3 linked regions of the Saccharomyces cerevisiae S288C genome follow. Changing the gene in region 1 together with any one later gene gives a genetic interaction. Each region holds a gene or a part of one and is shown in the gene's direction. Other genes may lie near its edges. The genes, in order: CIS1, RDR1 and YPS6.

The links.
Region 2: mutations in CIS1 (region 1) and RDR1 together harm fitness more than expected from each alone (negative genetic interaction), as found in Saccharomyces cerevisiae (one large-scale study listed by BioGRID).
Region 3: mutations in CIS1 (region 1) and YPS6 together harm fitness more than expected from each alone (negative genetic interaction), as found in Saccharomyces cerevisiae (one large-scale study listed by BioGRID).

Annotation. Positions count from the first base shown.
Region 1 is NC_001144.5:821,626-824,465, reverse strand, and holds CIS1 (Cis1p), read left to right. Parts: upstream 1-1,873; coding exon 1,874-2,179; downstream 2,180-2,840. Other genes in the region: KAP95 (karyopherin beta), read left to right, coding at 1-638; YLR345W (bifunctional fructose-2,6-bisphosphate 2-phosphatase/6-phosphofructo-2-kinase), read right to left, coding at 2,426-2,840. UniProt on the Saccharomyces cerevisiae protein: Mitochondrial protein that is involved in citrinin resistance.
Region 2 is NC_001147.6:1,049,129-1,052,889, forward strand, and holds the start of RDR1 (Rdr1p), read left to right. Parts: upstream 1-2,161; coding exon 2,162-3,761. Other genes in the region: AMF1 (Amf1p), read left to right, coding at 383-1,930. UniProt on the Saccharomyces cerevisiae protein: Transcriptional repressor of multidrug resistance genes, such as PDR5. Required for growth on non-fermentable carbon sources like lactate or glycerol.
Region 3 is NC_001141.2:430,379-434,139, reverse strand, and holds YPS6 (aspartyl protease), read left to right. Parts: upstream 1-2,028; coding exon 2,029-3,642; downstream 3,643-3,761. Other genes in the region: seripauperin PAU15, read right to left, coding at 1-211.

The DNA of each region.
Region 1 (2,840 bases):
AAGTAGATTCGCCAGTTTCAATCACCGCAGTGGGCTTCATCGCTGATATTTCAAATTCGTTAGAAGAAGATTTCAGAAGATATTCCGATGCTATGATGAATGTCTTGGCTCAAATGATCTCTAATCCAAATGCAAGGAGAGAGTTGAAACCAGCCGTCTTGAGCGTGTTCGGTGATATTGCTTCCAATATAGGTGCTGATTTTATTCCCTACTTGAATGACATCATGGCGTTGTGTGTTGCTGCCCAAAACACGAAGCCGGAAAACGGCACATTAGAAGCCCTTGATTATCAAATAAAAGTACTAGAAGCAGTACTAGATGCTTATGTGGGTATAGTAGCGGGTCTTCATGATAAACCTGAAGCTCTGTTCCCTTATGTTGGTACTATATTCCAGTTCATTGCACAAGTTGCAGAAGATCCTCAGCTGTACAGTGAGGATGCTACCTCAAGAGCAGCAGTCGGATTGATTGGTGATATAGCAGCGATGTTTCCAGACGGCTCAATCAAACAATTTTATGGACAAGACTGGGTTATTGATTACATTAAAAGAACTAGGAGTGGCCAATTGTTCAGTCAAGCCACAAAAGATACAGCAAGATGGGCTAGAGAGCAACAGAAGCGTCAATTATCCTTATAATTACGATAGAACTTACAAGCTGATTTTGGTTCTTTTCCATCTTTGTTTCTTAACATCTGCTGCAGTTACCAACGCATTTACAAACCACGGTTTACAAAGGGCATTTCTCTTTGATCATAATTAATTTGTTATTTTACCTTTATGATTTTGTTACCTTCTCCGTCATAGGAGAGAAAACAAAATACCTGCATTCTTCTAATTCCAGTCGCACTTTTTAGAATTTCCCTCTTTTTATTAAAGTACATCTTAATTTTTTTTTTTCTTTCTTCCTTTTCTACTATCTTCTCTTTTATTATTATATTATATTATCAATAACCCTCATCTCTCTCTCTCTCTCTCTCTCTCTCTCTCTCTCTCTCTCTCTCTCTCTCTCTCTCTCTCTCTCCTTTTTTTCTTCTTTTAGATTTTTTTGCTTTTGTTTAATTTCATTCCAGTTTCCCCCCCCCAATATTAATATTCGTTCCTAGAGCCTATCACACCTAATATTTCCCGTATACATTATAGTAAATACCTCAAGACACTTATGATAGATTTTTTTCCTTAACTCAAACCTAATTAGCTCTATGCATAAAGAAAGTTTTGAATAAGGAAATCCGCATATTCAAATTATCAAACATGCACTTCATCTGCAAAACTTCCAAAAACTTTCTGCTCGTTAATAGTCAATGTATGGTAATGCGAATGAGCAGGTACCCCTTATTATAATGATTAATACTTACATCATAGTTAATAATCTTATCTCAGGGTACCCATAATTTCAACCATCCTTAGCTTCCATTAAAAACACAATGAGTTGCGTTACTAGCGAAGCGGCTTATCTGTTAATTCTTGCTTGCAAACATCTTAGCTGAAAGTGAAAAGGCACAGCCGCACCTGCTGAATGCTCAACGTTTGTAATAATCCGCCTATTTCCGCGGAATCAATAGGGCTCCTAGCAGGCCGCCATCAATTTTCAGCGTGCCGCATTAAAATTATATTACCAAGATTTCCATTTCCGCGGCTGATTCCTATCAATATTAAGTAATCAATCTTTTCCTCGTGATTCTTTGTGATGCTCATTCACAGAGGACTAATTAAGACATGTAGCACAATATATTCATATAAAAGTTGGTGCAGTTAATGATTAATTGCATTGTTTTCCTTGTTTCTTTCTGTTATACCTGTCGAATTAAACATAAAGTGTATATGAATTTTAAGGGGCACAAATAACAAAGGATTATTTATCACCTTTAATAATGCAATCGATCAGTAATTGTCCCATCGGGTTAGTTTCAAAAAACACAATCAATTCAGCTTCCACTATTGCAGAGTGGGTAGCATGTCCATGGAAATATATCAACGTTGTTGGTTCAGGCAGATATGTGAGCAATAAACCTGATAAAATTACCAGATATGATTTACTCAAGGCTGCCCAGGAAGCGGAAATGCAGGAGTTGCTTACAAGAAATGATATGAAAGGTAGACATAAACGTAATAAGAAAAGTAAGATAGCATTGGAGACTATAGCGGAAGAAAACTCTTCAACTGAAAGCCTTTTTTAAAGTTTGTGTCACAATCATGTTAAGCTATCGTCCCCTCATATCATTTTAGCCTCCAGGTAAAACCTAAATATTGTATAAAAGAGAATGGTAGGCGAGCATATTATAGAAAAATATCTCTAAATAATTTACAATTTAATATTCGTTGCTAATGGTAATTTTTTTTCAATTGTTCTTAATCCTTTCTTAAACATAAAAATAACTATTTTGAATATAGATAATACACATCAACGATGCAACTCCAGTATATTAGCTAGTTAAAGGAATGTTCAGTAACTCTACAGTATTACAGAAAGGGCTGAATGAAATTTCAACTAATTTGTCTCTTGTGAAATTTAGATTTGGTAACTCTACGCAGGTGCAAGCCATTAAATAGCCATATAATACTCTTAATGTTGACTCATGTGCAATGATGAGAATGTCCTTGCTCGTATGCTCCATTTCTAATAGTAAAGGTTCCATACGAACGGCTAAGTCATGGTAAGATTCCGCCCTAGGGAATCGAAAATGATATGGGTCTTTTAATGATTCTTTATATTCTGATGGAAATTTGTCCATTATCTGTTGATCAGTAAGATCAGCAATACTTCCTGGGTTCAACTGTCTCAACTCTGACCGTTGCTGAACTTTAATACCTTCTTTTGAAAAAAAGAGTGCAGTATCG
Region 2 (3,761 bases), on another chromosome or scaffold:
GCGCCAAGCAAAATTACCTACCACTTTAAGCCCAAAAAGGTGATGTGTAGCTATTGCGGCTGTGGCGGCTATTGCGGTTGTCGCCACGCTTGTCGCCAGGGTTGTCGCTACGAATGTTTCAGCTTTTTTTTCAATGGGCCACTCTTTTCACGTGAAGCGCTCCACGAAATGTGCGGATATTGCGGAAGCTCTCAATGATGAGCTATCGGTAGGGATTAAAATAAACGAGATTTGGCAGCAGTTTTAAATACCAAGGGAGTAGTATATCTAGCCTCCAATAACTTCATTTGTGGAAACTTACTTCTATCTCACTCTCTACCTGAAAAGAAAACAAATATTGTACATTCATCAATTGCTGGAACATAAAGAACATAAAATCAATATGTCAACTAGCTCCTCCGTAACGCAGAAAAACTTGGATACAAACGCGGAAGCCTTGAAAAAGGAGGATAAAGTATTATCAGAGTTTGATATTCAGGATGAGAGGCCTAAATCCCTTTTATGGGAGAGTGCCTTTGTCGGAGTGCTGTGCTCTGCCCAACTAATGACTCAGGCAGGACTTGGACAATCATTAGCGCCGCTTCACATCATCGGTAACAGTTTTGGAACAACGAATGCTGGACAACTTAGTTGGTTTGCTTCCGCATATTCGCTAACTGTTGGTACATTCATTTTAATTGCTGGAAGACTCGGAGATATCTTCGGACACAAGAAATTCTTTGTCCTTGGCTTCTTTTGGTACGCACTTTGGTCCTTACTTGCTGGGTTTAGCGTCTACTCTAATCAGATTTTTTTTGACTGCTGTCGTGCATTTCAAGGCATGGGTCCGGCCTTTTTGTTGCCAAATGCCATTGCGATTCTCGGACGCACATATAAGCCAGGAAGAAGAAAAAACATGGTCTTTAGTCTGTTTGGTGCTTCAGCACCTGGTGGCTTCTTCCTTGGGGCTGTTTTCTCATCCATGTTGGGTCAACTGGCGTGGTGGCCATGGGCTTACTGGATAATGGGTATTGCATGCTTTGTTTTAGCTGTAGCAGGTTACTTTGTAATCCCTCACACCCCCATGCCAAGCCGCGATGCCTCATCTTTCAAGTTGTTGGAACGAATCGATTTTGCAGGGTCAGTTACCGGCGTTGTTGGATTAATTCTCTTTAATTTCGCTTGGAACCAAGGCCCCGTTGTGGGTTGGCAAACTCCATACACATACGCTCTTTTGATAGTTGGTACCTTTTTCTTGGTTATTTTTGCATATATCGAGTCCCGAGCAGCTTTCCCTCTGCTACCATTTGCTGCTCTTTCTAGTGATACTGCTTTTGTACTTAGCTGCATAGCTGCGGGATGGGCCAGCTTTGGTATTTGGATATTCTATACATGGCAGTTCATGGAAGACTCAAGGGGCCAAACCCCCCTTCTTTCTAGTGCACAGTTTTCACCTGTAGCAATCAGTGGATTTTGTGCAGCCGTGACGACAGGTTTCCTTCTAAGCCATACACCCCCAAGCACAGTTATGCTTTTTGCGATGACAGCTTTCACAGTCGGAACTATATTGATTGCTACGGCCCCCGTTCACCAAACGTATTGGGCTCAAACGTTTGTGTCAATCATTGTTATGCCTTGGGGAATGGACATGTCCTTTCCGGCCGCTACAATAATGCTTAGTGACTCGATGCCACACGAACATCAAGGTCTTGCAGCCTCTTTGGTTAATACGGTGGTAAACTATTCGATATCGATAGGTTTGGGTATTGCAGGTACAATTGAATCTAGAGTAAATGACGGAGGTGCCAAGCCTTTGAAAGGATATCGTTGTTCGTGGTACATGGGCATCGGGTTGAGCGGACTTGGCATTTTTGTCGCAGCAACGTATGCATGGAGCACTTTTATGAAGTCTAAAAAAAGGATCTCCGAAAAGCAGCATTTTATAGAATAAGTTCATATATAGAGAAATACTTCATCGTGGTATATAACCCAAACTAATAGAAATAAATATAGTACGATCAAAGTGATAGAGAGGAGCCAGTATATCCCGTATCGTGCGATAAATATGAAAATTACAAGAGGCCATTCTCGAGTGAAAAGATACATTATTTTTTCAAGTAGAAACCTGAAAGAACTTCAGTAAGATAACTTAGCGCACACTTTCCTACTTTAAGCTCACCAAATGGCATCCCCAGGATCGACAGCATTACCACACAAGCGACAAAGAGTCCGAAAGGCTTGCGTGCCCTGTAGGGAACGTAAAAGGAAATGTAATGGCAAATCTCCATGTGAAATGTGCGTTGCCTATGGATATGTATGTCATTATATTGACGGTCGTGTCCCTTCGGCATCACCTCAAGTGCAACAAGTAGGTGAAACATCTCCTGATACGGAGAGCAGACCTTTTGTTCTTCCGGGTATACATAGAAACGAACAACCGCAGCCTATAAATACACAGAACGTTACAAGTCAAAACATTGTAGATCCAACTAAGTCTAGGTACACGATCCAGCACTCTGCAGTTGCTTTCCCCCGCTGTCTTGGTCTCGAACTCCGATCAACTAATCCTCCACGCCTACATTCCTTCGCTTGGCATTGCGGAATCAGACCGGAAGAAAATCCAAACTCACATGTCCTTCTTTCTGATTTAGTTACAAAGGAAGAGTATTACCGTATCTCAAAAGTTTATTTTTCAGTTGTTCACCCGATATTTGATGTTGTTAATCCAGAGCAACTGGCAAAGAATGTTGAAAAATACTGGGATGGCGACGTAAAAACCTTAGAGTATGGGGCTGTTATTGCAGGGGTGATAGCTTTAGGATCATTTTTTATGGGAAGTCTTGGCCATCCCCGAGAGATGGATATAGTACAATATGCCAAAGGGATCCTTGATGACCCGACTTTCAGTCGCATTCCCACGGTGGAGCAAGTCTCCGCATGGGTTTTGCGCACCATTTACCTGCGAGCCACTTCGAGGCCCCATGTAGCATGGTTAGCTAGCTGCGTAACCATCCATCTTTCTGAGGCAATTGGCCTGCATCATGAGATTGACAGAGAGGATATAGCGATATCGAACAACGTTCCACCAAAAAGAACTACTGTAGTGAGCGAACACACTAGAAGATTATTTTGGTGTGCATGGTCAATCAATACCATTCTTTCATATGACTATGGGCGCTCAAGTGTTACGCTGAATAGAATTACTTGCAAGCCAGTTAAGGAGACGGACGGTAATTTTACAGCTCATTTAGTCGCGTTAGCACACCTGATTCCCCAAGACAGCGTGAACGCAAACGCAGCGCAATTGTTGCAGGCCCTGGCGGCCGTTCATGAATCACCAAACGCACATCCGTTTTTGTCGTTGACCAAGGGTGATATATGCCTCTCTTTGTATAGAAGACTTCGTTTGCTGAATCATATTCTTGATAAAAATGTTGTTTTACAAATAATTGATATCGGCAACACTGCGCTATCAGCAGCATACGCTCTTGTAAAACTGGATCAAGCATGGTGGAATGTGTTGAGCACCTCATTCCAGTACGTCTGTGTCCTTCTTGCCATCGACACACCGGAAAGTCTTTCACATGTTGCTACTGCCATGAAAACGTTAGATAATATTACTCAAATTCTCGGTACACGTATTGCTTTTGAAGCACAAAAGACCGCAAAACTGCTTCTTGAGGATTCCATGAAAAAAAAAAGACAAGAAATTCAGCAGCTTGAGCAGGCAACTCACCAGAGATCTAATCTTGAAACTACTCACCTACTCGATATTGACTGGG
Region 3 (3,761 bases), on another chromosome or scaffold:
CAGCAATTTCAACTGGGTAGGTCTCACTTGGATGAGCTGCTTGAAACAAGTAGTATTGGGCCAAATGAGCTCTGATATCGGAGACGTAAACACCCAATTCGACCAAGTTAACTCTTTCGTCAGATGGAGATAGAGTGGTAGTGGCTGGGGCAGCGGCAACACCAGCAGCGATGGCGGCGACACCAGCAGCGATTGAAGTTAATTTGACCATTATATTTGTTTTGTTTTTTAGTGCTGATATAAGCTTAACAGGAAAGAAAGGAATAAAAACATATTCTCAAAGACATACAGTTGAAGCAGCTCTATTTATACCCATGCCTTCATCAGTCATCACTACTTAAACGATTCGTTAACAGGTGCTCATTTAGCACCTCACATATCCTCCATATCTCATCTTTCACACAATCTCATTATCTCTATGGAGATGACCTTGTTTCTGAACGAATCATACATCTTTCATAGACTTCGTATGTGGAGTATTGTTTTATGGCACTCATGTGTATTCGTATGCGCAGAATGTGGGAATGCCAATTATAGGGTGCCGAGGTGCCTTATAAAACCCTTTTCTGTGCCTGTGACATTTCCTTTTTCGGTCAAAAAGAATATCCGAATTTTAGATTTGGACCCTCGTACAGAAGCTTATTGTCTAAGCCCATATTCAGTCTGCTCTAAACGGCTTCCATGCAAGAAATATTTCTATCTCTTGAATTCGTACAACATTAAACGTGTGTTGGGAGTCGTATACTGTTAGGGTCTGCAAATATGTAAACTCTCGGCGAAGGCCTTGGTGCAATTACGTAATTGTAGCCGCTGAGAGGCGGATGGTATTGAGAGAAGTTGATATTCAAAGAATTGATTATGATAAAAAAAAAAAATTGTAACCAATCCGTAAATACTGAAACTCTTTGCAGTAAGAAATCTTTCATCCCCAGAGAGAACGCGGAAATATTCAGCCTAAGTCTCTCCAAATTGATTTCTTTCATTTTGGTAGCGAAAGACTTAGTATCAACCTCAAAAAGTTGAAATTTTTGTAGATATATGTGCGGATGACATGAAGTATCCAGCTCCTTTGTGAATATGGAAGCAAGTTTCTTTCAAATTATTATCGACTTTTCCTCTGCCCCTTTTACCTTATAACTTTAGGAAACACTACCCTATCCATACTCAACTAAAAAAGTAGTACGTTTTCTTCTTTGAGAGGTATGGTGCAAACCAGTGCAATCTGATTCCAGATTGCCCTCACGTGAGGCTTCAGTAAATCTCGATCCCTCTACATATTACATTATCTCCTACTTGGCAAAATAGATGTGGCTTTAGTTGATGAAAATTTACCACGTCAACTATTTATGTCCTTTCTACAATAAACCCCGACCTACTATCCTCTATGTTGTTTTTAACATACCATACGAGCGTCATATGTCTTTTGGTTCACTGGGGAAGACCATCACTGTTGAACGTTTGTTGAAAAGTTCGAGATGATGAAGATTGCATAACAAAATGTAAAGTTATTTTTAGAAACTATAACGGTTCAAGACATTCAACACTATAACATAGCTTGGCTGGCTTGAACATAAAGAGGAAGAAGCAAAAGCAAGAGTAAAAAGCTTCTCATTTATTTCTGGCATTGTTGATCACCCAGTGCAAGCCCAATTTCGCCTGTGCTTTTCTTAAATTGTTTCTGACAACACCGAGGTTTTCGCTGCAGAAAAGGAACATATGGTGGTAATTTGTATAAGGGGTTAAGGGTCCAAAAATTTGCTACCCTGTCGCTCACTACAGCAAAATATCTCGAGATATCCGAGGAGTTAAAACTGACTAGACCTGTTGCGTAAACCTCATGCAAGCAGTACTCTTCGAGGATTTAAGCTTTGGAACTGCTTTCAAAGTTGAGAGTATATAAGGTGTTATGATCTTGGAATAGGGTTTTTCATCGTTCTTCCTTGTTCTCTTTTTTCATTGGTTGATCAGTTGTTAAATTTTGTCTCTTTCGAAAATAAGGATATTTGAAGACAACGCAAAGCTATCAATATGCAATTGATTTCCATCCTCTCTTTGTTGTCATCATTGATGTGTTCATTGACCGTTTTAGGGTCTTCCGCAAGTTCCTATGTTAAGTTTCCTGTTCAAAAGTTGGCTGATATTATAAATATATGCACACAGGATGTTTCTACCGTCTTCAAAAGAAATGAGGTTCTTAACACCACAGTGATAAATGGAATAGGAGTGTATGTTGTCAAGATGGAAATCGGAACGCCTCCACAAACGTTGTACCTACAGTTAGATACTGGCTCTTCAGATATGATTGTGAATAATGCTGACATTGCCTATTGCAAATCGATGTCTGACGGATCTGACTACGCTTCAACTGATAATTACGAGCTCACAGCAACGTTCAATGGGCTTCCTTCGACTACCATCTCATCAGAAGCTTATAACACTCTCTGCTCTTATTGGGGTACATTCGATGCAAGCAACTCATCTACTTTTGAGAATAATGCGACGTTTTTCAATAACACATACGGAGATGGTACGTATTATGCAGGGACTTATGGTACGGATGTTGTCTCTTTCGAAAATATTACTCTAAATGATTTCACTTTTGGTGTATCAAATGATACAATAGGCAATCCAAGTGGCATTTTAGGCATATCGCTTCCCATTGCAGAATTTACAGATGGTATCGAATACGCATTGGCATTGAACAGAACACCTTTCATATATGATAACTTTCCAATGGAATTAAAAAATCAGGGAAAGATTAATAAAATAGCGTATTCTTTATTTTTGAATGGACCTGATGCACACTTCGGGAGCATCTTGTTTGGTGCAGTGGACAAAAGTAAGTACACAGGACAGCTTTACACCCTGCCTATGCTGCAGGCATTCAATACCCTTGGCTCAAATCCTGGGATGATTATTACTGCACAAAGTGTGGCAATTTTGGATAGTGAATCTGGCAATAAAACTGTTTCGGATATTCAATTTCCAGTGATGTTGGATTCTGGCACAACTTTCTCCTATTTACCCACCGAAATTGCAGAAGCAATCGGCAAAAGTTTTGACGGAGAGTACAGCTCTGACGACCAAGGCTACATCTTTGATTGTTCAAAAGTGAACGATACTTTACTGTCCGTCGACTTTGGAGGATTTAATATATCGGCAAACATATCCAATTTCGTAACATCAGCTAAGGATCGTTGCGTTTTAAATGTTAAGCAATCCGAGTCCACTTATATGCTGGGAGATGCTTTCCTTGTCGACGCATATGTAGTCTACGATTTAGAAAACTACGAAATTTCTATTGCTCAGGCTAGCTTTAATAATCAAGAAGAAGATATTGAGGTTATCTCCGATACTGTCCCAGGTGCCACCCCTGCTCCCGGATACTTTAGTACATGGGTATATAAGCCCGGTAGTCCCATCGGAACAGGAGATTTTATTAATGTCAGCTGGACCTCGTATTCGGAATTTTCACAGTACAAATCATTGCTTGCCACCGCAGCCCAAAGCGATGATGCTAGTTCTTTCTCAAGTAGTGGCGGCTCTAGCGAAAGCACCACTAAAAAACAAAATGCAGGTTACAAATACCGTTCTTCTTTCTCCTTTTCATTATTGTCCTTCATATCTTATTTTCTTTTATAAGTAGAGAAGAGATACATAGTTTCGCAGTGTGTTACTGTGTGGGACTGTATAGGTGAAGCCCTATATACTGTGTAAAAGGCGATGAAACTTTATTATGTTATATATCACTGCTTCATATA